Lonchura striata: one gene and its partners. The protein of the gene in region 4 interacts with the protein of the main gene of each other region in a pairwise test. Links are inferred from orthologs where the notes say so. Each region holds a gene or a part of one and is shown on either strand. Other genes may lie near its edges.

Region 1 (6,896 bases), on a different chromosome or scaffold from region 4:
CTGGCTCTTACATTATCTTTTGTAATGGCAAATTGCAGTGCCCCTCAGCTACAATAAATCCCGGAAGGTTTTATTTTCAAGACAGCTACCTCAAAAATTGCAAGCCAGAGATATAAAGCAGACAAAGGCAAAAAAAAAAAAAATTACTTTTGGTGTAGTTTATCCTGATGTCATTCTAGAGACTTCACTTTTAGTTACTGGGCACTTGCACCATTATCAGAGCAGAATCCATCTCCCAAGGACAGGTTTTGTTGTAGTAAACTGGTTTTACTCCAGCTGGTTTATAAAGTCCTACCCTTGGTGTATTTACACGGCCATTAGCAAGTCAGAACACCTTTCAGAGAAGTGAATTGCAGACAGCCAAATCACAGCCCTAGGCTGATGCAGAAGTGGGTAGGGTTTTTAAACTTTCTGCAGCAGTTAGTGTTTAGGCACATAAAAGCACCCCACCCTCGTGCCCCAGGCAAGAGAGAATACTCAGACATTGCAGAGTGTACTTCATGCATCAGGATACATCGCTTGGCTTTAAACGAGGTCAACAGATTTCAGAAAAATGAGAGAAGGGGGTAATACATATATGCCTTAAAACAGTATGCTGACTAACATCCCAGATACTCAGTGGCAATGTTTAGGGGGAAAAGGCCTGGTTGTTGTGCCCAGCAAACTGTTAAATGGAAGTTTTATGATGCTCCTGACACTCTGGAAGACAAGAACCCATAAAGCTTAAACTGGAGTTTCTAAACTCAGAGCCAGTATCCTTTTTTATTACTTTCCATTATGACTTTGCTACTACAGATGATGCCCACAGAGGAATTAAAACATGTAATTGTCCTGAGAACACTGCTGTGTCAGCCCCAGTGCTCCAGTGCTGTTCTGGTACCACAAGATTATTGAGAGGGTACATGGATAATATCTTTCACTGTGTAGCCAAACTGGTGTACACTTAGAAGAAAAAATAATCTGATAACTAAAATGTCAATGCAGAAATGCCAAAGAAAATAGAATCAAGGAACACATTTTGGTTCCTCGGGGAAACTAATATCTTTGAAGGGAAGTGGTATGTTCAGCAAATAGAGATCAATAATTTTATTACCCAGTGCACAGTTTCTTACACATTTTTTTCAATTATTTTGCTTACCCCAAACTCTTCTGATCACAAGAGGAAGCAAAGAAATCAAACAACAGCATTGCAGTGCTTAATAAACACTATTGCAATGAATGTGCTACTGTGTGCACATACTGGTAATCTTAACTTAACAGCAAGAGAAACACTCTGCAGTGTGCCATAAACATGCCAGGATCAATGACACATGGATAATCTGTTTTCCTCAAGGAAAACAGATGAGCAGTTTTTGAGAGGAAGTTTTCAGTCTGACTCTGGTTTGCCAGTTGTAGAAAACATAATATCCATCACTATTGTGTTTCTGCAATAAACATATTGGATAGTCACTGCATAGTGCTTGATGGCACTCTAGTTCCCAGCTCTGCAGGAGCTCCAGCCAAGTGCTGGGCGAGTCATGTTTTTGCAGTACTGTGTAAACACCAGGTAAATTCATAGGAAAATGGAGTAAACACAGCTAAACAACACTAACCTGAACAAGATCTTTTTCTAGAGTCATTGCCCATCAATGAGTACATGACAATATTTCCTTTCCTCTACTCTAGATGCAGCACACTAAACTCACACACCCAACACATGGCACCATTGTTCCAAATTCCCAGTCCCAAACAATCTGTAATCTCACTTGGGGTGGGGCATACTGGCGTTGCTCTAATTAAGTACAATGATAATGCACAGGATGACTTTTTCATGTGTTATGTTCATGTAAAATCTTACTGGAATCTCACCTGGCAAATGATCTAAAATCTCAAGCTTTCTGTTGTTCTTGTGCAACTCATCTGTTAGCATGTCTGTACAACAGAGCATGAGTAATTTAAAGTAGGGACCATCCTTGAGATTGAAGGAAATACCCTGTGGTCTTGGAGACATGCCATCACAAAGCTCCAGAGCATCCAACCCTCTTGATAAATTTGTAGCACTTTTGCTGTTGCACTCAGGAGTCCATTTTTAACATATTTAAAAATTAAAATATCTGCAACATTAAATTAGCTGAAGATTTAAAAAAAAAACAAACCTCAAAACCCAAAAAAGGGGCAGATTTAAAAAATGCTTTCAAACTGCCTCAACACTTGGGGTATTGTTCAGCAGGGTTTTTTTGGTAGATGGTTACAAAACATAGTACAACACCACATAATGTAAATTCCCACATTTGCTATGAAAATATTATTTCTGAATCAATTTCACCCACAGATAAAATCTTATACAAGGTGTATAAGTTATATAAGTTGTATAACTTATACAAGTTGTCAGATTTCCAAAAACAACTTGTAGATGGGCTTTGAATGCTTTGATACCTTTTACTGTAGGAGAGTAAAAGGTTGCTATCATTCCTGTCAAATACTCTTTGAAGTGTGTGGATCTATGAAAATTCATGGTCAAAACTGCAGCAACTGCTAACACGTTATCACACCTACAACACTCAGTGCTTACGCATCTCTTACCTCCAAATTGTCTCTGGTCTCAATAGAGATGGGAGTTACACAAGGTGAAGAGAAAATAGTGTCCTTATCTGTAGCAGGAACCAGGCAGGAAATTAATGCAGTTCTGACACAGAAGCTAAGGGCATGATCCAGCGAGAGCATGTGGGTGCCTGTACCCCACGTGCTGCTCTCAGCACAGCTGCGTGAGGCATCAATGCACAGCTCGGGGCAGTTCAGCTCTGGGCAGTGCTGGAGGAACCACTGGGACATCATCCCTAAGGGCTGGGAGCTGTTGTTGTTATGGCTTCCTCAGCTCATTCTGTCAGTTCTGACAGTTACAGCTGAAAAACGTTTTGTACAAATCAGTTTTGAGAGAAGTAAATCCACATGGGGAAGCCAGGTGTACAGCTGACAGCAACAGGAAAACCACTCTTCAGCAGTGCCTTTGAGTGTAAGGGAACTCTCCAATCCTGAACTGCACCGTGCAGCCACAGCTGGGATTGCTCCTTGTACAGTCACAATCTCCCTATTTCTCCAGTCAAATGTCTTAATTTTCTCTTCTTTCCCACAACCATGACAGTGCTGCTCAGGTCACACGTCTCCCAGTGAGTCCTTCAGTTACACTTTTTCCCCTTATGTGAGGAGATGGTTTCTGGGATAAAGGCTTTTGCAGCTCGAGGTGGAGAGTTGTGGCTCCCTTGGCTGTGCTGTGCTATCCGTAGTGGGGAGCACTGCACACTGAGGCAGACCGACCGCCCTCCCTGGCACAGGACACTTGCAGGGACATTTCTTATCGTTTCTTATCCCTGGCAGCTAGGCCAGGGAAGGTTTAGGTTGGTCACTACGAAAAATTTCCGCATAGGAATTGTGATTAGAATTGGATCAGACTGCACACGTAGATCCTGAAGTCACCACCCCTGGAAATGCATAAGACTGAACACAGCACTTGATGCCAGGGTCTAGCTGACATAGTGGCGCCGGGTCATAGGCTGGATTCGACGATCTTAAAGAACTTTCCAGCCTGATTCTGTGAGGTGACACCAGGCCTTGATCCAGACCCCAGCCATGGCGTGGCCGGCCCACGCTGGCCTAAGGGACACAGCACCGCCTGGCATGCCTAGATGCAACAGGAAAGTCTACGAGGTCCTCGGAGACGCCTCGCGTTTCCCGGGAGCGGGAGCGGGACCTCCCTCAGGCTCCGCGCCCGCCCCTCAGCCCCAAGCGCCGCCCGGGCACGCGGGGCGCGCAGGCGCGGCCGCCCCTGCCCGGCGCGGGAGCTGAGGGGGCAGAGCGGGCACAGCGGGCAGAAGCGCCGCTCCGCCCCGTCCTTCCTCCTCCGCCCCGTCCTTCCTCCTCCGCCCGGTCCTGAGGGCTCTGTGCTCCCCGAGGGGCCTCCCTGCGCTCCTCAGCCCCGAGGGCCGCTGCTGTGGCGGCGATTTTGGGGTGCCGCGCCTCAGAACCAGCTCCACGGGTCTGTGGCCCTGCTTATGGGCTGCACGGTCTTCGTCCTGCTTCTCTGCGGGGGGAAAAGTAGCAAGGCAAAAGTTTGAGTGTTAATAGTATTGTGTTAATAGAGTGTTTAAAAGTATTGAGCCTTTTGTTATTGAGACAGTAAAAAGAGTACGTGCCTTTATATAACGTAGCTATAAGCAGGAAAACAAAGGACGTAGTTACAGACGTACCCAAAGTGCAAAAGTCAAGTAAGTACTGAAAAGTAAAATTGTTTTTTCCCCTTCTAATTCAAATTTTCTTTGCTTGCTGGACACAGTTTTTTGTGCGGTGAACAGCATTACTGGTTGAGAATGCCAAGGATTCTTAGCCGAAGATACAGGAAAAGGATTTTAAGCGTGCAGGAGATCTGTGAATATGCTGCCAAGTAACAGCATTAGCAAACGACTGGAGAAAGTATTTGTTATGGTCATTTAAAAGCGAATTTGCATTAGAAAGTAAAGGCAGAGAATCATAGGATTGCTTGGGGTTTTTAAAGTTATCTCTTAGGCTTAAAATTATTTTGCTCCTTGGAAAATTCTTACTATCTTTCATATATATATACTATATATAGTATCTTTGATATATATATATATACTATATATACTATCTTTGATATATATATACTATATCTTTGATATACAGTATACATAAGAATGTTGCTTTTTCTAGGCTCTTCCTTACAAAAAGAAATAATAGTATTAAACTTCCATTATATTTAATGGATGCTGTGGTTTCCTGTTTAATTGATAGATTGCTAAAATACCAAATTAACTAGACTCCTTACTAAGGTCTGGGTTTTTATAATAGAGTACCATATGTTCAGTTTTGAACATCTGGGGGGAATGTTGACTTCTAAGATAAATGAGGCCCTCCATCCTTTGGTATCAAGCCCAGGGTTGCTGGGCTATTAAGGCTTTGGCATTCTGAAGCTTTAGCAGTTTTCATCTGTGAGGAGGAAGCCCCTTGTGCCAGCCCTGTGTTGCCTAGTTGTAATTCGCAGGATTTTATTCTTGAGAGGCTTCTGTTTCAAAACTGGTAATTGCAATTTGCAGGTGAGTGGAGGTATAACTGTTGATTTTCCAGCTGCATTCTGGTCATTAGTAGGTGGTTCACAATTGCTAAATGAAATTAAACATTGCCAAATCGATTTGAAGTTGGTTCGTGCTGGGAGGTGTGACTTAACCATTTTAATTAAGGCACCTTTCTGAGTGAGCTTGGGATTTTTCCTGTTAATCAAAACTTCCACCTGTGTGAGTAATTACTTTTTAAAGCAGGATCCCCAGAAGGATCACATGAGACTGGATACCCAATTATATTGTTCTATAGAAAAGATTGTTTATATTTGTGGACAACAAAAATCCTTCTGGCTCCACAGAGCTTTTGGAGCAAGGGGAAGAATAATATATACAATGGATTGTGAATGACTTCATGGCAGTTAGTTGTGTCATGGATCCTCTCAAAGAAAAGCTGTTCACAAAGCAAGATGCTACTTAGCACATGAAACAGTTGTGTAACTTAGCAGATGTCCTTTTTGAACATGCCAATTAGAAAAGAAGCCTTAAAATTTCATATTAGAGCTTTTTACTAATTTCTGCAGCCACATGGCTCATTATAACAGGTGACAATGACACCATAATTCATTCTGTCATTTAACAGAGACAGCTATTTATCTCGAGATGGAAGAGTCAGTGCTGGATAAATTGCCATCTTTGTGCAATACTCCAAAGGATTCTGGGCCAGCACCTGCACAGGGCACTAGTTCAGGGAAACAGGTATGAAAACTTCCTACTTTTCCAATAATGTGATTGTTCATAGTAACAAAATGCTGGTGAAATCATCGAGGAGTCAGAAGTCACTGAGATGCTGCTTGCTGGAAGGCTAGAGACAGGCACCTTATACCTCTAGCTACAAGGCTGTGCAGGTAATAATGTGCCTGGTGTACTTTGCTCTGAAAATGCAGATGCTTGCTGTGTGTACAAAGTGATGGAGCAAGTGATGGCCTGTTAAGAAATTTAAATACTATATAGGGTGTGTGATGGATCTGTCATCGGTTTTCTCAAATCCTGGTTTTCTGGGTTGCTGTGCATGCAGGATGACTTTCTGTGACTTCTGCCTGCAGTGGAACAAAGTACAATGCTTTCAGTTTGTGTATTATCCATAGTGCTGAGCTCTGCTTTGGTCTTATCCTGGGATGCGAAATGGTGATACTGCAGGCTTGGTTTGAGAGTATTCTGTAACTAATTCCCCCCTCTTGTATTTTAGTGCATTTCTATAAATAAAAATGTTAGACACAGATTATAAAAAAAATAGTTATTTTGAAGAAAAAAAAATGTTTTTAGATGCTTGTAAAGTATCTCAAAGCATGAACAGGTCAAAATTATACAGGTATTTCTAATATGTTCTAGAATACAGATGTTTTGTACTAGTTCTAATGCAGATGAATGGGATGGAACAGCAGGAAAGTAACCCTTACCTCCATTAAACTAGAGGGGAAATTGGTAGAATAAAATTATCCAAGTTGAAATATGCTGTATTTCTTTTACACAAACACTAGATGAGTAAGTTTGCCTCAACAGAATACAAGATTTTGTCCAAGAAAATGTGGAGCTACACCTTTCCGTATCTTGCAGCTGTGTGTGCAAATACAAGTGAAAGGAAGATGTTAAATTTGTTCAAGTTTTTGAAGGCTATACAGACAATTAGGAAGTCTGGCTTTACAATGATCGTTAAATATATTACATATTCTATGTAAATAATAATGATTGGTAAACGGTGATTTGAGATTTGATAAAAATTTAAGAATATTCTGACCACCTGGCTTTTCTGGGTTTATTTATTATTTTTTCAGCAAATGAGTGCAGCTC
Region 2 (7,634 bases), on a different chromosome or scaffold from region 4:
ACTGATTTCTAGTTCAGAAGACACGATATGGTCATGGAAGCAGCCCTCTTAATTTCAAACAGGCTTTAGGTTATGTACACACAGGAAAATAGAAGATGGTGAGTTATAAATCAGATAGGTTCCTTTTTTGGCAATTGTGAAGCAAACCATCTGTATGCATTACAAGATGGACAAATAATGATGACCATGGATTTGTCAAGAACAAATCCTATTAAACCAATAAGACCTCCTTTTAAAATAAGGTAATAGGTGTTACACAAAGGAGAGAAGTATTAAAAATTCATATATCTTCATTTTAGTAAGGCTGTAGACAATGTTTCTTGTGAATAAGCAAAGACAATATGGTCCAAATTGAAAGCTCCATGGTGTAAGAAAAGGCAAGACTATTTCTGAGGAAGAGTTAGCAAAATGGGGTCATTATCAAAAGGAGAGATGTATTGAAAGAGGTTTCTCAAGGTATCTGATACTCTTTATAAACATCCAAAGAATGGAGTAGAGACTAAGCTTGATACATTTGAAGAGGACATGAAAAAGAGAGCAAATAAAAGAGTGTTAGAGAACAGAATTAGAATTCAAAGGGAATTTGACAAAGTGGTTATGAGGAGATTTTTTTTAAGAAAAATACAAAAGATGGTATTCAATAGGTGCAATAGACATAGCATCATCAGTTCCCCAGATACAGGATGGGGAAAAGTAAACAGGATTATAGTTGCCTGGAAAAAATGTAGAGTGAATCACAGGCTAAGCACGAGTCATCACTGTTATGCTGTTGTAAAAAGGAAAATGGGATTGAAACAGGGAAACAGCCTGCAAAATAGGCAAAGCAATTATTTTGCTCTGCTACCCCATGGTACAGCTTAAATTTTAGTGGTTTGGGGTAGGTTTTTTTTTTAAGTTTTTCATCTGAATCATGCTTGGCTTGGGGAATTGTGCTTCCAGAATGACACTGGGTGTCTGCAGAGGAGTGCAGGGGAGTTCAAGCTTGATTACCAGTCCAGACAACATTAAATATCAGGCTATTAATGGGACAGTTTGTAATAATGAGGCAAAGAAGATACAGGGTCTTTAAATATGGAAAAGACAGCTACAGGGAGGAAGCAAAGAGTCTGTTCTCCAGGCCAGGAAAGACAGACTTTTCACTAATGGACTTAAATTCCGGTAGGGGACCTATTTAGAACATACATTAGGAAAAAAGACCTCTAGTGATAAGGGTAGAGAAACACTGGGAAAAATTGCCTGAGGAGATGGCAAAAGCACCATACTGAGAAGCCTTTAAGAACAAGATTTAAAAAGCAGTTATGTTGCAACAAAAGATCATGTCTTGGGGCATGGAAAATAACAGGAAAGGGGGATTTCTTAAGGTCATTTTCAACCTTATGCTTCTTAGGATTTTCCTGTTCCTCAGATTTCCCTGGTTATAATATTCACCTCACAAATTTAAACAAGAGTAGGAGAAGGTCTGGTTTGGATGTTCACATGTCAAAAAAATTTAGGCAACAGCTGTAAGCTTGAAGGCATTCAGAAAACAGTTCTGGAAAGGCACTTATACAGTGCAGAATCAAAGTTAATCCATACAGTTTGTTAAGAGAAGGTGAAGGAGTAAATCTGCTGCATTTCACAAACATCTTCAAAAGGAAGATATTTCTGTTAACAAGAAGCAGGCTTGCAATGGACAGATGCTGCAGCTAGATGAATTTACCTTTTCAAACAACATTTATATTTCAATCAAGTTTTTTTTACACATTAAGGTAGTGTGGTACATGTTAGCATAACCACTGAGAAATCTTCAAAAGTGCAATGATGGATTGGCCATTTCTCAAAAATAAATAAATAACAAATTTTATTCTTTGAAATAAAATGAAGATGCCTTTTTTAAAAAAACAGCTACAGAAAGACCTTGCTGTGGGAATGGCTGGAGGAAATTCTACAGCTTTCAATATTCAGGTTAGACAAGATGATCATAATAATCTCTTTGGCTTTCAAATCTGTTTACCTAACTTTGTAGAGAGATATAATGTTTACAGATCACTGTCAAATCTGCAGAAATGGATTAGAAAAAGGCATGAATGAGCAATTACTCTTGTGACCTCTATGAGGTATAACACTTACTATTTACCAGGTCATTACATTACAAATTGTCACTTCTTTCCTCAGTTTTAACTGCATAGATTAATCTCTTTAACAGCATCTGGAGTTCCATAGAGTAATATATTTATATTAGCAGCATTATATATGACAGCAAATATATACTATATATTATGGTATATACATCATAAGTTATATATATATGACAGATATATATTTTTTTTAACCACACTAATTTTCTTCCTTTTGTTCCAAAGAGATATGCGGGGTAGTGTTTCTTTTCTCCAGAGGGTCACATCTGCAGTCAGTCACTGTCAGCTTTGTTCTGGTGTCACTGAAGGGGTAGGTGATGGTCACTAAACATCAGCTGGGGAAACCACCCACAGCAGATTCAACAAAGTGCACCACACAGGAAGTTCTGCATTGACAGTATTATCCAGGGCCCTATAGATCATATGATTCCTGCATGCTGCTTGTGGAAATAGGAGGATTTGCCTGTGTGGATGCCAGTGAAGAAGGTACACAAGTCATTTATAAGGCTTCTGTTCTTGCAGGAGTTGTGCTGTTCTGACAAATTCCCAAGGACCATGATCTGCATAAAAATACTGCTGAGAAGCCTTTTAGAAATAGCAGCTTAAAATCTCTAAAGGCTGGGTGATATTTTCACAAGCAAAAGATCTGTCAGCTTGTCCTCACTTGGGGGCTTAACACTGGAGAGGTTGACACTTTTCAAGTTCATGTTCCCTCTTAATGATTCACCTATTTAGGGTCTTTTCACTTACAACAGAGGTGAATATTCGATCAAATCTGTAACCGAACTATAGTTTGGCACTGAAATTTATCACTTGAACTAAATCTAAACTCATGGTTGTTTATTACAAAACCTTCTGGGTACATAGTTCCCTTTATGGACTCCCACAAAAGTCAATGGGCTTTTTGGGCACAGGTGTCCCCTCTCAGAGGGCACTGGGCTGGGGCCCAGGTATGCAGTGTGCTGGGTGGGGCCTTCTGAATCCACCAAACCTCTCAAAGAGTGGTTTTCTTTGGCACATCTGATGACAGGCATTCAATGAGAAAATTCAAACAAGCTGTCATGGAGAAAAAATATAATTTTGAACTGGGTGGCAAACGGTTGCACTTTTTTTTAATATTTTATTTCTCTCTTTTCTTGGAGAACCAAGGAGCTCTTTTTATGTATTGGATCTCAGCAGAAAACCGCAGTAACTAGTTATAACTGCGGAAACTTATAGAAAAGACAGGTACCATCTGCTTTTGTTTTTCCCCAGAAAGATATTGCATAATGTTTTACAGAGAAGAGGAAAGAGTCAGAAATGTATTGCTTATTCATAATATGACATATTCCAGTCTGCTAATTTAACCTGAGCACCTTTAACCTATGAAAGCAAAGTTAGGAAGTGTGTGGGGTGTGGCCACACATTTTTTTTTATGGTGCTTTTTATGGTGCTTTAAGGTTTTATGCAAGGTAATTTGCCTTCCCATTAGTATCCTGCTTTGGCCTGGTTTGGCATAACTAGGAATGGAGTCTTCCTTGCTGGTGTGGGTTTTTTTTTTTTTTTTTTTTCTTTCATTGCTTTTCCTCTCCTTCCCAGTAACCTTTTTGTCTGAATGTGGCTTTTGCAACCAAATACTGAAGAATACCAACAAAGAGTGAAAAAGGAAATCTCCTGAGTCTTTCCATAAGGAAATGAACTTGTGTTCAGAATTCCCATAGGCAGCCTGTGGTTTTGGAAAGAAACATTTTTACTGGTTTATCATGAAAGGAGGACAGATTTATGTCACCTGGGGCTGACAGCACTGCTTGAGTATTTGTGCCTGGGCTTTTGCCCCCCACCCATCCTTCTGCACCTCCCCTCACAGAATCACAGAATGGTTGGGGTTGGAAGGGACCTCTGGAGACCGTCCAGTCCAAGCCCCCTGCAAGGCAGGGTCACCTGGAGCAGGTGACACGGGAACATGTCCAGGTGGGTTTGGAATGTCTCCAGGGAGGGAGACTCCACGACCTCCCTGGGCAGCCTCCCTCACACCTCAGGCTGGGAGTCCCAACACTACTGCTGGGCGAGTCTCTGCCTATAGGCGCAGTGCTTGGGGGTGGTTTTATTATAATTTATTACTTTTGTTCACAGAATCACAGAATCTGCTGAGCTGGAAGGGACCCATAAGGATCACCGAGTCCAACTCCTGGCCCTGCACAGCGCCGTCCCCAGAGTCGCCCCACGCGCCTGAGAGCATTGTCCAAACGCTTCTTGAGCTCTCTCAGGGTCCTGTCGCTGTTGTCACTGCCATAGTCAAGACTGTTATAATTAAATATGTTTTTTCTTCCCTTGCTCCTCATCCACGGGAGAACCGACCCCCATTTTCTCCGGGGGCCCTCAGGAGCCCCGCGCAGGGCCGGGACTGAGGGGGGGAGGCGGGCAGGGGGCGGGGCCTGCCGGGGGCGCGGCTCCCGCCGGGGCGCGGCTCGGGCCCGGCGGCCTCCCCCGCCCGCCTCGGTGGCTCGGCGCTCCCTCGATGCGCTCGGGCGGCGGCTGGCGGCGCCTGCGGGCGCGGGGCGCTGCCGGGAGCGGGGCGGCCGCAGGTGCCGGATGCGAGCGGCGGCGGGCGGTGAGTGACCGGCCCCGGCCCCGGCCCTGCCCCGGCCCCCGGCGGGCGCTGCGGGGCAGCTCCGGCCCCTTCCCTTTCCTTCCCCCCCCCCGCCTCCCCGGGGCGGAGGCTGCCCCCCTCCCTTCGGTCTCCCCCCGCCTTCCGCTCCCCGGGCGGGGTCGAGCGTCGCGTCCCCGCCCCGGCCCCGTGGGGACGGAGCTGTCGGCGACGGCTCTGGCGGCTCAGGGGGCGTCGCTGGGCTCCGGCCGGCTCCCCCCCGGTGCCTTCCCGGCTGCAGCAGCTCTTGCTCCTCCCCAGCCCCCTGCCGGGGCGCTGTCGGCAGGGCGGGGGGTTCCTGCCACCGGCGGCACTCGGTGTCCTGCCGGGTGACGCTCCCGGGCGAGGCCGGGCCCGGGCCGGGGAGCCCTTCCCAGCGCTGGTGGCACTGTCCCGGCCCCAGGGCCGGCAGCAGCGGCTCCGTGGCCTTTGCCTGTGTCTCGTGTGTCTGACAGCGGCCCGGGGGAGCGCCGGGCTGCACGGGCTGAGCCAGAGCTGCGCCAAGTCCCAGAGTCCATTCGGTTGGAAAAGACTTCCGACATCGTCCCGTCCGACCCGTGTGAAATGATGGGGTCGTTTGGCTCAGTGAAGTGTGGGTGTGCTGGGTGGGGGAGAGAGGAAATGAGCAGGGTAGAGAGGTGAGTCAAAGCTGGTTACTTGCAGGACTTGTTGAAAAGCTGGTTATTTTCAGGACTGATTTTATGTTTTGTTTTAGTTTTTTTCTTTTTTGGCTTCGCATTTAGTTATGCCATCAAGTTTCAGATATAGCTGCCCAAAATGAATGAGTACCTAGGCAAATGCAATACGAAAAAACAGGGTAAGGAGTGTGGGAGGAATCGAAATAACATGCTGGTTGAGAGATGGTTGCTTTCATTCTTCTGTCTGGAGAGATTACGCTTCTCTGAGACTTGGATTTTTTTTTTTTTTCAACTTCCTACACAGTGCTACATTTCTGCCTCATTTGGACTACCTTGCAGTCCAGAAGCGTCCATGAGCTGGGTGACCAAACATCTTTCCTCCTTGCCTCTTCTATTATCCTAATTAGGAACCTGAAAATGATCTCTTAGCAAGGTGCAGATGTCTGAAATTTGGGATGATCTTGTTCCCAGAGGAGAGTTTACCATTCTGCACAGTTCTACTGTTTTTTTAAATAGTCTTCCTTCTGCAATTTCTTCACTTATTGCAGGTTAACAGCTTCTAACCATAGACTCAAAAGCTCTGAGTCAAAAGCCAGTAAAATATTAAGCCATCCTAGCTCTGACAGAACATCAGATTAAACCTAAACTACAAATATTCATTGTTTAAAATGTAGTTAGAATCATAATCACGCTTCAGTTTTCCAGATTTTCTGATCATTCTTATAACAAGTAAACAGTCTTCTTTCTCCTTTAGTGATCTCTTTGCGTTTCACTGTTATAAACATTTTCTTTGTTTTTGCTTTTGATGTTTTTGTTTTGCTTATGGTGAAGTTGTCAGAACAGTTAAAGGACTGTAAATAAACAAACTTGTGGCTTAGAAAAACAGGTCTGATTTCTTCCTTTACATTTTGCTCACCTGAAGCAGGAATGCACTATAAATCTTATTTCCCTATTTTTATCGTATCTTATCCCAGCTTGCACTGACCTAGCAACAAGCAGCAAGAGGCATATCTTGTTGCTGATTTCTTTCCTATGGATAGCTTAGTGCTTGTGGTTTATGCCCACTCTTTGGACAACTGTTTTTATTTAGATGAAATGTCTGTTGTCTGCAAGGTCCTTTAAAACAGATGCGGTTATTTTCATTATACTGGTTGGACTTATCTGAGTGAAAATTATTTTAAGTTGTAATGGTAAGGGTGGTTTTCTCTATGGAAAACATATTTTAGGATGTGTCAGAGGTGAAGCAATTTAATTAAAAGATTGTTATCCATCAGACTTATGCTGGCTTTAAAAAAAAAATATAAAGTTGTCTTGTATTTTTCTGGTCTTCATTCAATAAATGAAAATGTTTTTACGGACTTGATGGTTTGTGGTTGTTTTTAATGCTCTAATTGCTTTTCATATTTTAGAGCTAAGCAGGTCTAGGTTAATGAAATTCCAAATGAATAATAAAAAAAAAAAGTAAAGTTCTAAGTCATGAACAGTAAAAGAAATCTAAAATGGTAGGATTTCTTGTGAGAGTGAGCATGGGTTTTATGCCAGCTGTTGAGAGCATTTGAGGCAAAACTGGACAGTAAAGATATGAAAATCTGTAATTTGCCAGTTGTTTTCCTGAGGTCCTATTAGAAAGAAACTGTATCCACTAATACAGTCCATTCTTTATTATGCTGCTTTTCCCAGAGAAGCTGGACTAAAGCAAAATAAGTAGGTTGACTAGAAAGGCAGAGGCCACTGACCTCATTTATTAATCAAAACTTTCAGATATGTTATGTTGAACCATACTTAATCAATTTCTTTCAATGCAGTGGTATATTTAGCTGTAAATTCAGTAAGTCTTAATCACTGTACTTGAAATTAAACTTAATCAGTTTTGAGTTATTTTAATTCTGTTTATTCTGCAATTTTCGGCTTTCCAACTGCACTTAAAAAAAAAAAAAAGCAAGAATGTAAAGATAAAAGTATTTCTCTTGAGAGGATGGTGACAGAAGAATGAATATAAAATGTGTTCTTAAAACATAGATTCTGACAACTATGGAAAATATCCATGAAATAATATATAGTTAGAGTTTTGTACACCAGGACAAAAGCTGTGGAGCACATGCAGACACTACCTGCATGTATTTTGAATGCCTGTAGGTCACTATTTATTTATACAAACAGGCAAATGAAACCTTCTGCAGGAGAAGTCAGAAGGACTTCATTTTATAGTCAGGGACTGGAAAATAGTACTCAGAGGACTGTAGATGTTACAGT
Region 3 (7,440 bases), on a different chromosome or scaffold from region 4:
AAACAACTTACAAAAAGAGTGTGAATCAAATTATCATCCAAATCCATAGTGTAGTGATAAACTCTGCATCCATCTAGAAGAGATTTCTGAATCTCCAGCTTAAAGCAGACATATAATTGAATCAAGAGAAGCTGGGACATGCAGTTCTCCCTGGATGCTTCCTTGTGCTGTGTGTGTCACAAGCCATCTGGGCTGATTAGCCTAAAAGCACAGAATTTCTTAGGCTTCAGGGAATAATTGCAGATATTATTTACAATTTAAGGGTTATTCCTGATCTGTAAGTTGTTTAGCCACCTCATCAAAGTAAATCCTTATCAACCATTTCCTCTGGCTAAGAAGCCAAGCCTCCTTGCAGTGAGGACATTGCCAGCAGTGCCAGTACCTCTTCAATAAAGGCCATTAAAATGCACTCTGCAGAGCAGGACCTCAGCTTAGCACAGACTAAGTGCTCCTGAAAAACCCAACAATCTGCAGTGAAACAGGCATTTTAGCAAGAACTTGCGACACCAGTTCCCCATGTGACCAGGGATAAGCAAAACCCCCACCCTGAGGAGACTTTCTTCAATTCCTATAGGATGTCAGCAGAACTGCTGCAGCTGAATCCTCCCTTTAGGAGAGAGAATGACTACTGAGCAAAGTCCAGAACTCTGCAAATCCAGCTACTTTTCATCAAGGAGGAAACAACATTTCAGAATATCTTGAAAATGCACCTACTTGCTAACAGTTTAAGGTGAGCTGGGGTGTGTGTCCAAGAGCTGTGAAGAAATGCAAAGACCTTTCCTGACTAGCCAAACTTCAAATTTAAGATAACTATTTAAAGCTGTTGGGATTTTACTGTAACGTACATGTGTGTAGGTATCCAGAGATTTACATAATCTGTTTTTATTGCTCTAACTGAAACACAATACAGGATTTTCAACCTAATTACCAAAAGCACCATTAGTATTTTGATCTCCTTAGCATCCCTGTTGGCACGGGACTTAACCCTGCCTGAAAGCTTCTAATTAGGAAGATGGTGCTGCTGTTTACAGTGAATAGTGGCTGAAAGAGAACACCACAACCACTGTTGATATATTTTATCATATTACATTCTGCAATCTTATATTCCTTCATCTCCTCTCCATTTTGAGAGATCCACACTTTCTAAGGATTCCAGGCAAGCAATGTTCATGACAAGACTGATGGCATGACAGCCTTTTATCTAAAGATCCCATTGCCAACATTTCCCATTAACTGGTTTATTCCAAATAACCAATCCCTCTTAAAGGATGATCAGGTCCAAAAGTAACGGATTTTACTCCAATAAGCTTTTACATGAACAGTTCCATTAAACAGGATTACTCATTACTATAACAATACATTAAATGAGATCATTATATTAACTGAGACTATTTCTACCCTTTTCAACAGCTTTACAGTTAAAAGACAATACTGAGCAGTTTCTGGAGTCCAAACATTGACATTTTTATAATGAAAAATACTATATAGGAGCAGAAAGTAAACTTCAACTTCAGAAACAACTTTTAGACTCTTAAGTTGGATATTGACGTAGATCCTTGGCTGACATTTAGGTTACTCGTGTCCCATTTGTTAGGCCATCACCTCTTCAGCTGGGAGGCATATAATTCAAAATGGGCCCATAGAATTTAGAGGCACATGATCATTATATACACGAGAAAAAAAACCTTGCCAATTTCATTCATTATCAACAAACAATGTAAATGTTTACTGCCTCAGGCTAACCCAAGAAGATAGAAGTTTACTAAAGTCTCGGTACATATATGAAGTGGCTCTCAATGTAACAAAATGAGAACTTAAGATTCAACTTCATTTCACTTTTAACACCTTCGCAGCAAAAAATTCTATTCTGCACCAAAGCAAGGCTCAAAGCCCACAGACACCAAGAACAAACCTGCTATAGATATGAAGTTCTAACCCTGCAAGATGCACCAGCTTCCCTGAAAAGCGCTCTACATCTTTACACAGCATACCAGACGGAGTACCAGATCGACAATCCTTACCTTAATTTGATGTCTGGCCTGGACACTACGGCTCTGCTAGAGCATAAACTTCCCATGCAGTTTTGCTTTCTTAAACTGAAGATAAACAGCTCGACCTCCTCCAGCTCAAAGTTAAAGGCTGAGGTTGCCTACGTTTCATTGTGTGCCAAAGTACATTTGACAGAGCACGAAGTGAACAGCAGGCTCTGGGTGACGAAAGCAAAGTCTCAGTATCATTAAAGAGAAATCACCACAACCTACAGAACATCCCCTTGGTATAAATCTCAACAGATCACTGCTCAAGTAGAAATGCCACCATTATAATTATTTTCCACCGTTACTGTTTTTTTTTTTTAATTGTTGTCTACGAACACACACTGGGTGCTTTTGCTTCTTCCCCATTTCGTAGACTAAAACCCTCGAGACACGAAACCTCACGCTACAACACCTCGGCGGCCGGGGCTCGCAGCAGCTGCCCCCAGCACCTGCGAGCGCGTCTCCCCGAGCACGAATTACAGGGCGCACAAACCACCGCAGCGCCGGCGCCGGGCCCGCCGTGCCGGCTGCCCCGAGCCGCAGCGCGGCGGCGGCGCGCCCGCGGCATCCGGCCGGCGCGGAGGGGAGCGCGGAGGGGAGCGCGGAGGGGAGCGCGGAGGGGAGCGCGGAGGGGAGCGCGGAGGGGAGCGCCGAGGGGAGCGCGGAGGGGAGCGCGGAGGGGAGCGCGGAGGGGAGCGCCGAGGGGAGCGCCGAGCCCGCCCCGCCCCGGCCTCCCGCGGCCCCGCTGCCGCAGCATCCCCGGCCGAGCCGCGACCCCCGCCCCGGCGCAGGGCGGCGGCGCTGCCGGGAGGACGGCGGCCGCTCCCCGCCGGCACAGAGCCCCGATGAGGGGGGCAGGGGTGGCGGCCGCCCCGCACTCACCGGCGGACGGCGCGGGCCGCTGTCGCCTGCCGGGGCAGGGCCGCTCCGCGCCCTCGGCTCCCGCCGGCCCGGCCCGCGCAGGGAGGGGCGGGGGGCGGGAACACGCAGCCGCCCGCGCCCCTCGGCCCGCCTGACGTCAGCGCGCCCGCCCGCCCGGCCCATGGCGGCGGCGGCGCCGGGGCGCATCGCCTCATCTCCCTCATCGCCCCCCTCGCCCCGGCTCCCTCATGGTCCCCATCGCCTCATCTCCCTCATCGCCCCGGCTCCCTCATGGTCCCCCTCGCCTCATCTCCCTCATCGCCCCGGCTCCCTCATGGTCCCCCTCGCCTCATCTCCCTCATAGCCCCCCCTCGCCTCATCTCCCTCATCGCCCCCCTCGCCTCATCTCCCTCATAGCCCCCCCTCGCCTCATCTCCCTCATCGCCCCCCTCGCCCCGGCTCCCTCATGGTCCCCCTCGCCTCATCTCCCTCATCGCCCCCCTCGCCTCATCTCCCTCATAGCCCCCCCTCGCCTCATCTCCCTCATAGCCCCCTTCGCCCCGGCTCCCTCATCGCCCCCCTCGCCTCATCGCCCCCTCCGCCGTGCCCCACACCGCCGAGCCCCACACCGCCACACCACAGCCGTGTGACGCTGCCACCGGGCGGGCAAAGCCTCTGTCAGCCTGCCCCAGCAATCGCCGAGCTGGCTGGCAGAACCAAGGGCAAATGGGAGTTGTTGAAGGCATTGCAGGAATGGGCCTGCGAGTGTCCCGGCCCTGCGGCATGGGAGGGTACGATCATAGCATCGTCTGGGGTGGAAGGGACCTGTAAGATCACCCAGTGCGGCCACTGTAAGCCCTGAACCATCACCCAACACCAGATCCCGATGACAGACACCTCCAGAGACTGTCCCTGTGCCACCTCTCTGCACAACCTACTCCAGTGCCCAACCACCCAAACAGTGAAAAAACTGTCTTCTAGCATCTGTTCTGTTCCTGTTCAAGGCCATTTCCTCCTGTCCTCTCTGCAGGCACTGCAGAAGAGACCGGCCCCACCTCAGTAAACCTGCTTTCACAGAGCTGCAGGCAGTGATGATGGCCCCCACCCCAGCTCCCTCGCTGTTCCTCACAAGATATATTTTCTAAACCTTTCACAAGCTTTGTTGCTCTTCTCTGGACATACTCCAGTCCTTCAATGTCCTTTGTAAAGTGGGGGCCCAGAACTGAAGACAGCACTCGAGGTGCAGCCTCAGCAATGCCCAGCACAGGGATTGGGATGATCCCTGCCTTGGTCCTGCTGCCCACACTACAGCAGAGGCACTCAAAGGAGAAAGGTGGTGACCCAGCTGTACAAAAATCCTGAAGGACTCTTGCAGTCACCCATGGGAGACCAGGCATTCTCCATGCCGGTGCTCACAGAATTAATTAAGTTTAATTTCCTCAAATTTTCTGCCTGTGCTAGGAATTAGAAGGCACTGACAGAAGGCTCAGGAAGTTCCTTGCCAGTGAAGTAGATCACTGCACCATTATTTACACCTCAATGTCTTTCCGCATCTCTCCTGGTTTGGGGCCTTTGTGTTTACACTACCACAGCATTTCACCATCTCATTTGCTGTGCTTCAACACTGGGTGTTCAAAGTTTCTTTTCTGTCAAAACTTTCAATAGCCAATTTTTCTAAGCTTTTGCCTGCCTGATTTGCCAGGCCTCCCAGAGGGAGGAAGCTGTGCAGTCACCTCAGGTGTATATTTGTGTAGAAATAAAACCAACACCCTGTAATTGATAAGCCTTCTTCACCTCTTAACTAGAAACTGGGTGTGCCCAGATGTCAGCCCAGGCACTGCAAGTGCCTCCTCATCTTTCTAGACACAGGGCATGAAGACTTTGGTACATTCGCCCCATGGGCAGCAGAAAGGCCTTTTTAGAAAAAGAAGGAATGAGAACTGAAGCTTTTATGTGGTTTTTTTTTTTTTTTCTGCTTAAACTTAAATGTACCAGCCACATTAATGCATTTATTCTTAGAACAATCTGAAGTAAAATGACTCTCCTGTGGTACAGGAAGGGGGGGCAAGCAGAGAGATTAAATCTCTTGCTCAAAGCTGAAGAGAGCAAAGTCAGGAAATGAACTCAGATTTCCTCAGTCAGGCCTCAGTGCTTTAACCACACAATCATCCTTTCTTGCCAGTCATTCTCAGCTTCTGAACATCAACTGCATTAGCATAGATTTGATTTTTCCCTACTTTGTTCATCAAAACAACATAACAACTTTCCCATTCCTCATAAAAATTTCTTCCTAATAACTTACTTCTCTGTTTCCTAACTAAAGAAATTATATTAGAGACTCGCTGGAAGATTTGTATTTCCCACTGCCTTTCTGCAGGCACTGATGAGTGTTTCTTCAACATCAGTACTTGAAGTCCTCTCCCATGAAGCGATTGTGGAACTCCTCTGGTACATCTCTGAGGCACAATGGGTGAGATCAAGGAATAAAAATCAGAGAACCAGGAGCACTTGGAACCAGCACAAAGGAGGCACATATGCTGTGTGTGCTGACCTGGAAGTGGTGGTATAACCACATTTTTTAACTCCAGCTCATGCTTTTATAATCCAGAAATAATTATGAAACAGAGCTCTGAAACAAAACCACACATGTAAAAGAAGAAAGCAACTTAGAGATATTTTAGGATGGATTTGAGAACTTCCACTGTCTGTTTAGGCATTTAACAGATTTCCGTGTGCTTATATAGGCTAAAGATTAAGATCCAGTCTTGAAGCAGAATTGAGAGTTTCTGAAAAAGGAAGCGTTACATACAAAACTCCAGATTCTGACTGTTTGCCTCAAGAAATGGTGTTAACCCTCCTACAGTCAGACTGCAGACTGAGGGCCAGCTATGATCAACTGCAGTATCTTTTCCTAACAGTTTATTATCAGATGTTTTCAGCTTGAGGTCTTCACCTTGAATTGATTCTCTATTAAATTGATTTAAATGGACATTATATTACGCTGGGAGTTGGACTAAAAGCTTGTTATTATCCTCTTTACTCACTGCCCTGGCAGTATGCTGCCTCCAAAACAAGAGACACAGTATGGGGTGACACCAGCCACCCCGAGAAGAGCTGGATGTGCCATCAGTGATATTTACACAAATATTTTCCCAGCCCCAAGAGTTCACATGCCAGGGAAAAGAAGAGAAGGATTTCTCAAATTTGACCATGTAGCAGAGCCCTACACTCTAGAAAATATGAATTAGTTATTTGTAATTCTCTTCATTACAATGAAGCTGAGTGAATCTGCTTGAGTTAAAATTATCTTCAAAGCAAGGACAGTCTGCTTCCTGCATCACTTCATAAAAATTATCTTTGCCATGATGTCCATACAAAAATCCTTGCTCTGTAGCTCATATGCTGTGACTGCTGCAAATTCATCTGTTCATAAAAATTTCACTTTTACTTTGTGCATCCACTTTCTGTTACTGCATTCAAACATATTCTGCTTGTACTCAGATTTTATGCTGTCTGACAGATGAGCTATATTTTCTTGGTTTGCATTCTTTCAAGTTCAAAAGGGATAAGCACCCAGATGCAACTGTTTTTTCCCCCACATATAAGTAATAATGTATTCATTGTGGGCATTTTACTTTACCAAATACTGCAGCATGGATTATCACTAATTCACCAATATTCAAGAAAAGGAAAACAGATGTTAAAATTAGAAACTATATGCTTCTTGGGGTCTAGGTGGATATTTCATTAAATATATGACAGTGCGTGCAGTTGGATGGTTAGGGGTTGAAATTCTTAATTTCAAAATGTCTCATGATTCTGTAAAATGCATTCATCAACAGGCATCAAAAATAAACTTTCAGCCATCTTCACAATCTGTGTATCTACAAATTTTATTTTTTTTTTAATTAAGGAATATATCCCTTTTATTTTTCCGTGTTTTCTTTTGACACAAAGGAGTCACTGTCTCCAAAATTACCTATTCACTTTTCAACTTCTTATACTTTTTAAACTATACACGTAATTTCATTTTTGTACCTCCTTAAAAATATGTACTAAAATGGATATTTCAAGTCTATTAACTTGTTTACTGAGATAAGAAGGAAAGCATTGGGCTAATGTCACACAGAGATGAGTGTGGTCATATGTGTGTATATGTATTATTTCCATTTATAGCGTCCACAAGCAATGAAACTTTGTACCATTCTGCAACAAATAATTGTATAAGAATAAAATAATTCAGTTTGGTGCAAGCTGAGGTCTTTATAGTGGTTCCCCATCAATGAATCTTCTTCCCTTTTTACTTAAGGGAAAACTAAGAGGTGAGCTCAAACTCATTCTGCTGAAATACACTTTTACCTTCTCACATTTAAGACTAAGTCCTTCTTTTTTTTTAGCTTTGAAGAAGAATCCAAGTGAAGTAATTGAAGATTTGATATCTTTTCAGACCTTAGTGCTATCTACCACTTTCTAAATGATATTTAGTTAATAGGGTAATATTTAAATGAATACCTGTTCATTGCAGTTTCAGCTGCTTTGTTAT
Region 4 (7,746 bases):
GTCTCGAAGTGCCCATGCAGTCTGCCTTTTGTAAAAATCTCCCTTGTCAGATTTTTTCACTTTTACCACGTTCACTTGCACTGGTCGTTCTGTTGTCACTATTAAATGAAGTAAGAGAGTCATTTCAAAACACACATACTACTTTCACATCTGTGTCTGCTGTACTTCAACTTCCCAAACAAATTATCTGTGGGGGAGATTTGTTAGCATTTATCTGATGAAAAGAAACATTTTGAAACCTTTTCATCCACAATAACCGCAACTCAGTTTAAGTCTCAACCAAACAGGTATACTTCTCTATACAGCTTGTGAGGTAATGACCCCAATTTTCAGCTATTTCTTTGATGCAGCAGATCTTGGACCATGACCACATAACTGACATAGCACAGACATAACTGGAGAGTACAGTCAGAATGAAAACATTTTCAGACATTTTTCAGTCAAAAAATATTCTAGCAAGCTAATTTATTGACAGATCAACACAAAGCACCTAGTTTTTTAAAGAGATAAAATGTAATAAACATACACTTCAAGGAACATTAGAACTCAATGCAGTTGCTGTGCCTTTCCTTGGTCTCTAACCAGTATTCTTTAAAGCATTTTATTTAGGCTTATCAGCTTAGATTATTACTAAACCCTGTTTTAAGCACTACATAAAGCTTGTTTCAAAAGCCCACCAGTCCCTAGAGAATACTATTTCATTCTTTCCTTTCAAATTACAATGAGATCAGTGAATAAAAGTAGTGGGGTTTGCTTCTTTTTTTAGTAGAAGCAATAATGAAAGTACAAGTTATAAATAATTTTCTCCATTAGGAATGGAAAGCACCTGTTTTATACAAGTCAAGAATAAGAATTGTACATAAAGCTAAAACAAATGCAACCAAGAAAAAACAAAGGTGAAGATAAGAAATATAGTGTGGTATTCATATATACCTGTGGCACACAAAAAGCAGTTCCTCTTCTTTTTGCCTGCTTTGCACACATTCACAATGCTCAATAAACGTTCATCATTGGGAGTGAAAATATCCCTCTGCAAAGCATGCTTGATTGCAGTCATTTTCTCTCAGCTGAAAGATTTTAGGAGGTAAAAAATAAACTCAAGCATATTTACCAGACGCACGAGAAAAGAACCTGTCATGTACTTACAGTAACCACAGGATTTTAAAATCCAATTTTATAGATAACTTAATGACTTGTAATCTAGACAGGCATGACTTGGGTAGAAGACCAGACCACTTTAGGAAAAAAAAAAAAACAAAAACCTTACTTGTTTCAATTAGAAAACTGTAATTTATTAATACCTGGATAATTCTTGAGCTTAAATTAATGGAGTACAAAAAGCTTCTTTGTAGTAGAGGGAAATACTAGGCATTCAATAAAGTTGAAACTGGAACCAAGGAAAAAAAGACCATCCAATACTCAAGCTTGTAGAATTCAATCACATAAGCCCAAAAAACAACAAACAAAACAAAACCAAAAACCCCTCTCCAAGCTCCAGAAAATTAAGGAATTAGCAATATTTACTTGATTAAGAACAGTGCCTCACACTAGAGATTTTATCTAGACTGAACAGAGAAACACATTACACATCACATTCAAGCGTTTTTATTCAAATACAGAAGATTCAATATTATCTGTGCCTTAAAATTCTACAGTTCATTTTAAAAAAGCATGATTAGTACACACAACATACTACACTGCTGGATGCTGAGACAATATATAGAGTTGAATTTCAGGTTGGGTTGTTCTCTTGAAGATGCCCGAGTTGTTTCCTCTGATAAACCCATAGAAAAGACAAAATCTTGGGCACTACAGCAATTTTGAAGATTAGAAAGTTAAGAACTTTGTGAAAACAAGGCCACGATGCCAAAGTGAAAACAGTATTGTCAACAGCGCTCAGGGCATGCTGTTTAAATGACACCCTATGGCAATGTACCACTCCATAGCTGCTAATAATTTTCCTTCTCTTCATCAAATGCTGGGCCCACCTTTTGTTTCCCCAATTGTACCAGGTCACCATTCGTGTTACTCTTCAACAGATGCATAAGATGAACACACAAAATACCAATAATCTGCTATATTTCAAATTCAGATGCCTCTTTCCTTCCTTATTTAGGATTTTATTTTCTGCTCTAAGTCACAATCAAGCTACTACAAATTGCTAACTCTCCTATTTCAGTGCTATCACAAGTACTGCAGGTTAGGCAGAGTACACCTTTCCCACATCATGATAAATCCAAGATCCAAGACTGGCTCTCATAAACAGTTCAACTTCTGAATTAAAAACTCAGTTCTTTTAGTCACAGCCACCAAAACATTCACAGTGTGCCAGGACCAAGCACAAAATTAAGCTTTTCACACTTGAATCCTGCTGCCTCAAAGGAACACAGAATTCAGCCTAAGAAGCTGGAAATAAACATTTCCTGTAATGAGCCAAACAAAGGCTACATGAAATTTGTTCGAGACATGACATCCCAGCCGCGGCTTGTCCAGGAAATACACGCCAGACGGGGCATGGCAGCGTGGTAAAGCTGCTCAGCACTGCCTGGCCTCTCTGAGGGCGCAAACAGGAAAAGACGCTGCTCCCGCATCCCACCGGCTCAGAACACACCACAACAGAACGCAGCCCAACCACAGCATCGCCGGAACTCAATCACAAGATCAACAAATGGACAGAAAAACCTCAGAAGAGCTACCTAGAGCAGCGGCGGGCTCCCGAGGGCCCGTCTGACACCGCCTCACCGCCTCCCACCTGCGAGTCCCGCACAAGCGGCCCCGCCCCGAAGCCGGAGGCACGGCCACGGCCGAGCCGGCCCGCGGAGCACCGCGCCAGCCCCACGCCTGGACGGGGGAAGAGCCGGAGGGTGCCGGGGCCGCCTCGCTCTCACCGCGGCACCGGGAAGCGCCGGGAAGCGCCGTGCCAGGCCGGGAAGCGCCGGGCCAGGCCGGGAAGCGCCGGGCCAGGCCGGGAAGCGCCGGGCAGGACGCGGCGCTCCCGCCGCAGCTTCCGCCCTCGTGACGGCGGCGCGCGGCTCGGGGCGGGCTGCCCGCGCAGCGCCCCCTGGCGGGGAGGAGTGGGCGCGGCGGGCGCGGGGCAGAGCTGCCGCCCCCAAAGTGACGTCAGCATTCTCCAGTGACGTCACGGCAGAGGACTGAGGGGGTTTTGGTCCGTTAGGGGACAAATGGGTCCACAGAAGAAATGCAGATAAACTTGGTACTTAAAGAACATACAGTGCATTACAATTTTGAATTACAGTGTCCAGCTCAGACTGCATGCTGTAATTCCATTTGGCCACAGCATCAGGACTAAGGTCACTTCATAGAATCAGCAAGGTCGGAGAGACCCTTAAGATCATCAAGTCTAACCATCCACCCAGCACTATCACTGCAACCCCTGAGGCATTAAACCTTATCACCCAGTACTAGATCCAGACACTTTTAGACCACCTCCAGGGAGAGTGACTCCACCATCCAGGCAACTTATTCCAATGTCTGACAATACTAACAGTGAAAAAGAAATTCTAATATCTAATCTGAATCTCCTCTGTCTGAGCTTTAGGCCGTCTCCTGTTGTCCTCTCACTGCAGGCACAGCAGGAGAGCCCAAAGCCCTCCCCACTACAGCCTCCTTTCAGGGAGCTGTAGAGAGCAGGGAGGTCCCTCCTGAGCCTTCTCCAGGCTGAACAAACCCAGCTCCCTCAGCTGTTCCTCACAGGACATGTTTTCTGGACCACTCATTAGCCTTGCAGCCCTTCACTCCAGCACCTCAATTTCTGTTTGAAAGTGAGGGGCCCAAAACTGAACACAGTACTGGAGATGAGGCCTCACCAGTGCTGAGCACAGGGGGATAACCCCTGCCCTGGTCCTGCTGGCCACACTATTGCTGACACAGGCCAGGGTGCCATTGGCCTGGGCACTCACTGGCTCATGTTCAGTTCATATTCATAATCTGTGGACAGCAGTCAGATTTTTGCTTTGCTCCTAGGTAGAAGAATCTGGACTAATTGGCAGTCTTTGATGTCAGTGATAATCCAAATAGGAAAATTATGCTGAGACTAGATTTAGGATTTAGCATGAGAACTGATGTCCAAATTGGTTATAGCTACTTGTAGTCATTGATGAATTCTGTGGAAACTGGAACTACCTTCACTGTGACAGAGGTTCACCACATGATCAATACACTTACCTAATTTTTAGCATTGTTAATGTAATGGAGTGCAGAGTTAAGGATAGACTGAAATCATTCCAGATTACTTAAATTGTATATAATTTATTAATTTTAGTGTGTATCTGATAAAATGTATTTGCAAGGCCACCACCAATAAACAGAAAACATCCTTTCCAAGGAATTGTTTTAAATTTCCAGTATGTGGATTTCTAACATGTAGAACTGTGTTTCTGTAATTCCTGTATCATATTTCTACTTGATCAGGAGCATTAATTGAGATGAGCTCAGTTGATTACAGCATGGTGTTAACATCACCAACACCGTGGGTTTGAGCCCCATATGGGCAATTCACTTAAGAGCTGGATTTGATAATCCTTGCATGTCGCTTCCCAGAATATTCTGTGATTAAATATGACTGACCAATTAAGTCTTGCTGAATGTACTTTTGTTTTCTCACTTACAAAACAACATGCTGTATGATTCTATAATATATCATTCACGAGGGCCATGGTTAAAATAGAAGTTATAGTTTGATAATTTCTCAATTCAGCCACAAAATGTGTATGTCTGTCTAGATTTATAAAGACTGGACAAGGCAGCCATAAAATACTGGACAATGTTCCATAAAGCTGTTGTTATTAGGGAGAATGCTAGTTTCCTAACTTTTAGCTTTAATTATGCTAAAAGAAAAAGGAAACCACACTAAAATGCCCTTTTTACTGCTAAAATGGGTTTACACATAAAAACTGATATGAGATTATCTACCCTGTGCCATCCTCTCCCCTCCTACTTTAGATGCTCTTCCACAAATGCTCTTTAGAAAGGGTGTTTGATCTTTCAATACTGACTTTAAGTCATGAAAATATATTCTTAAATTACATATTAAAAATTATGGAATACAATCACTCACTTTACTAGAAAAAAGATTTCTATGCTGAAAGTGACTGAAAGCATTGGGAAATAGGTAGCTGGCAGGGAAAGCAATATAGGCTTGTGTTGGAAAGAAGTATGTTATTATAGGTATGACTCCAAAACACAAAGGAGAAGAAGTATGAGAAGTAACCTAGAAGGCACAGTCTAGAACATGCTCCCTGTTCTCTTTCACTGCCATTTTTTTTTTTTAAATTCCACACTGATCTGCATTTCCTTAATTGAGGATGCAAGAAAATATTAGCTAACCATGAAAAATAAATTCAAAGGAGAGGAGTATTTCTGCTCTCAATAAATAAAATTTAAATAAAATCTATTGTCATAGGTTTCCCCGTAGTCTTAATTCCGATGTTTTTAAGATAAATACCTTTAAAAAATCACCTGTCTTCTATGACAGCCTCTGTTCCCTTTCTGCCTGTTATGTGAGCATGAATTTCTGTCTGCTTATGATCACTCATCTTCATTTTCAGGCTGCCATGTATTTTCTTCTGTCTGGAACAGAGTTGGCTAATTGCTTCTGAAGAATGTCTTCTGAAGAAAATCTGCATTATATCCTCAACCTCACATATTCATTCTAATCATGTAGTTGAAACCGTTTATAGGAATGCTACAGATTCATTCCTATAATCCTTTACTCCCCTCAGTTTGTTCCTTGTCAGTTTTGGAGAATTCTTCCAGGAGAACTAGATTAATCCCCAGATACTTTTTTCCAACTACATTCCATTTACCTAAGGTCAGGAAATGTGATGTAGGAAATAATTTTGCATTAACTGAAAGATGGGCTGTTTAGCCTGTTAGATCTTTTCCATTCATTATTTAGCATATTCTCTGTGTCCTGTGGTGCAGCCACGCTATGCTCACCACAAAGTGATAGTGTCCCTCAGACTTCCCATAGCACATCAGGCAATTACAGAGTCTTGGTAACTGGCATCTTAGAGAGAACTGTGTGAAAGTAAGGAGCCCCTAGATTCAGTCCACAAAGATCTTTTAAACTCTTCCGTTTTATAGTAACTGAAATAATTTACATGGACAATGTCCCTGGTTTTCCCATTTTTTTTTGTTCAGTCTGACTACTCAATTAAGAATGTCTGAAATACTACATTATCAGAAAGAAGAGATGCCAGATATTTTAATTCCATATTCTTCCACAGAAAATGCAGGTTTGTGTCTTTCAATATAGTTCATGACATGTTTATATCACACAAGAATAAAAATGTATAAACTACCAATGGGAGTCCATTGAATATGGTTGAACATTATATTAGCTTTTTAGCTATCATTATTTTCTAAAATGATACACACAATTACTGGGCAAGAATTCAGTATACATGTACTTTATTTCAAAGGAATGCTCTGAAGTGCGCATTTTTAGAGTTCTAACAATTACAAGTTGAATGATGAAAGCTTTTCCAGCCAGAAAACATTTCCTTGTGCCTATTAAGGAAAGAATTTGTAAATATTGTGGAAAACATTGTGACCTCAACAATCAACACACAATTCAAACAAGACAATGTATCATAGATAGCAGTAGCATGAATTCTACTTCCTATATAAGATGGTTTTGTGGAACCTGGATGTTGGGCAAATACTTCTTGTAGCTAATAATCAAATGTCACAGCATGCCCACTTACACTGGATTATCCCAAAGACATTCTCCAAAGAACAACTGTATTATGCAAACAAACACTAAAATTACATTTCTTCTTTCTAACAGTATTTCGGTGGCAAATTTAAGACCTTACAAATGCCAGAGGATTTCTGTTACCCATAAACTGCCCTCACAGCTGTCTTACTGTACAGTAATAATTACTAAGACCTGTGTTAGAACCAACGTAATTTGCAATATATGCCTAGAATAAATATCTAACTTCTGAATATTAACTAATAAAAGGTATGGGCTTTTCTATATAAACACAATAGGATAACATTTAAAAAGTAGAAAGCTGTAATTTTTACAGGTTTTCAAATATATTCTCACTTATTTGATATTATTTCAATTTTGAATTCAAAGTACATTTACACAAATGTTTTCAAAGGTGGGAGTTCACATGAAAGACAAAGTCCAAGCCACAAGTACAGCAGAGTACCCTTGCACAGATATCCCATGTTAGAGATGAGCAAGGATATGAACCAGCCTGTGATCTACTGGCAGCTGATATCTCAGCTCCAGGTCCATACCTGCTTTAGCCCACAGCCTGCCTTCCTGGTCTCTCTTGGCTACCAAAGGAAAAAGAATTTTCTCCTGCAGGACATTCTGACCAGAAGCTTCTCTGAATGGAGCTTACTTTGGGTCGGCATTTTTTTATTCACTATGGGATGAACAGCCAGCTAACTTAGCTGACTGACACTGGGTGTCAGCGATGGTGACACCATGCTTCTTATCATTAACATTGTTCTCTTCAGCTTCTGTTCAACACAGCTGCCACTTATCCTCTGTTTCTACCATAGTATACTGCTAACACAAGTCCAGCTGTTACATTTTGTGAGCTGTTCCAAGCAATCAAGACTCCACCCCATAGTAAATGTAGCTCTAAGTACTAATGTGTCTTTCGGTAGTGCACTGAACATGCTTATACTTAGCTAGAAATTGGCGAAAATAATTCTCATTATTCTAACTTTGAAAACTCTATCATTTGCCTAAAAAGTAAC

The links.
Region 1: the proteins of EXOC1 (region 4) and SFR1 interact in a two-hybrid assay, tested with the Homo sapiens proteins (2 studies listed by BioGRID and IntAct). The link is inferred for Lonchura striata from reciprocal best matches to the Homo sapiens genes EXOC1 and SFR1.
Region 2: the proteins of EXOC1 (region 4) and EXOC2 interact in binary tests that used the Homo sapiens proteins (3 or more experiments, as listed by UniProt). The link is inferred for Lonchura striata from reciprocal best matches to the Homo sapiens genes EXOC1 and EXOC2.
Region 3: the proteins of EXOC1 (region 4) and CCSER2 interact in a two-hybrid assay, tested with the Homo sapiens proteins (2 studies listed by BioGRID and IntAct). The link is inferred for Lonchura striata from reciprocal best matches to the Homo sapiens genes EXOC1 and CCSER2.

What each region holds. Positions count from the first base shown.
Region 1 is NC_134609.1:21,116,154-21,123,049, forward strand, and holds the start of SFR1 (swi5-dependent recombination DNA repair protein 1 homolog), read left to right. Parts: upstream 1-3,883; 5' UTR 3,884-4,241; intron 4,242-5,688; 5' UTR 5,689-5,708; coding exon 5,709-5,804; intron 5,805-6,880; coding exon 6,881-6,896. UniProt on the Homo sapiens protein: Component of the SWI5-SFR1 complex, a complex required for double-strand break repair via homologous recombination. Acts as a transcriptional modulator for ESR1.
Region 2 is NC_134603.1:95,192,836-95,200,469, reverse strand, and holds the start of EXOC2 (exocyst complex component 2), read left to right. Parts: upstream 1-4,625; 5' UTR 4,626-4,707; intron 4,708-7,634. UniProt on the Homo sapiens protein: Component of the exocyst complex involved in the docking of exocytic vesicles with fusion sites on the plasma membrane.
Region 3 is NC_134609.1:4,658,428-4,665,867, reverse strand, and holds the start of CCSER2 (serine-rich coiled-coil domain-containing protein 2), read right to left. Parts: upstream 3,005-7,440; 5' UTR 2,919-3,004; intron 2,207-2,918; exon of another isoform or gene 2,022-2,206; intron 1-2,021. UniProt on the Homo sapiens protein: Microtubule-binding protein which might play a role in microtubule bundling.
Region 4 is NC_134606.1:27,480,277-27,488,022, reverse strand, and holds the start of EXOC1 (exocyst complex component 1), read right to left. Parts: upstream 3,002-7,746; 5' UTR 2,889-3,001; intron 2,856-2,888; exon of another isoform or gene 2,697-2,855; intron 1,068-2,696; 5' UTR 1,058-1,067; coding exon 934-1,057; intron 99-933; coding exon 1-98.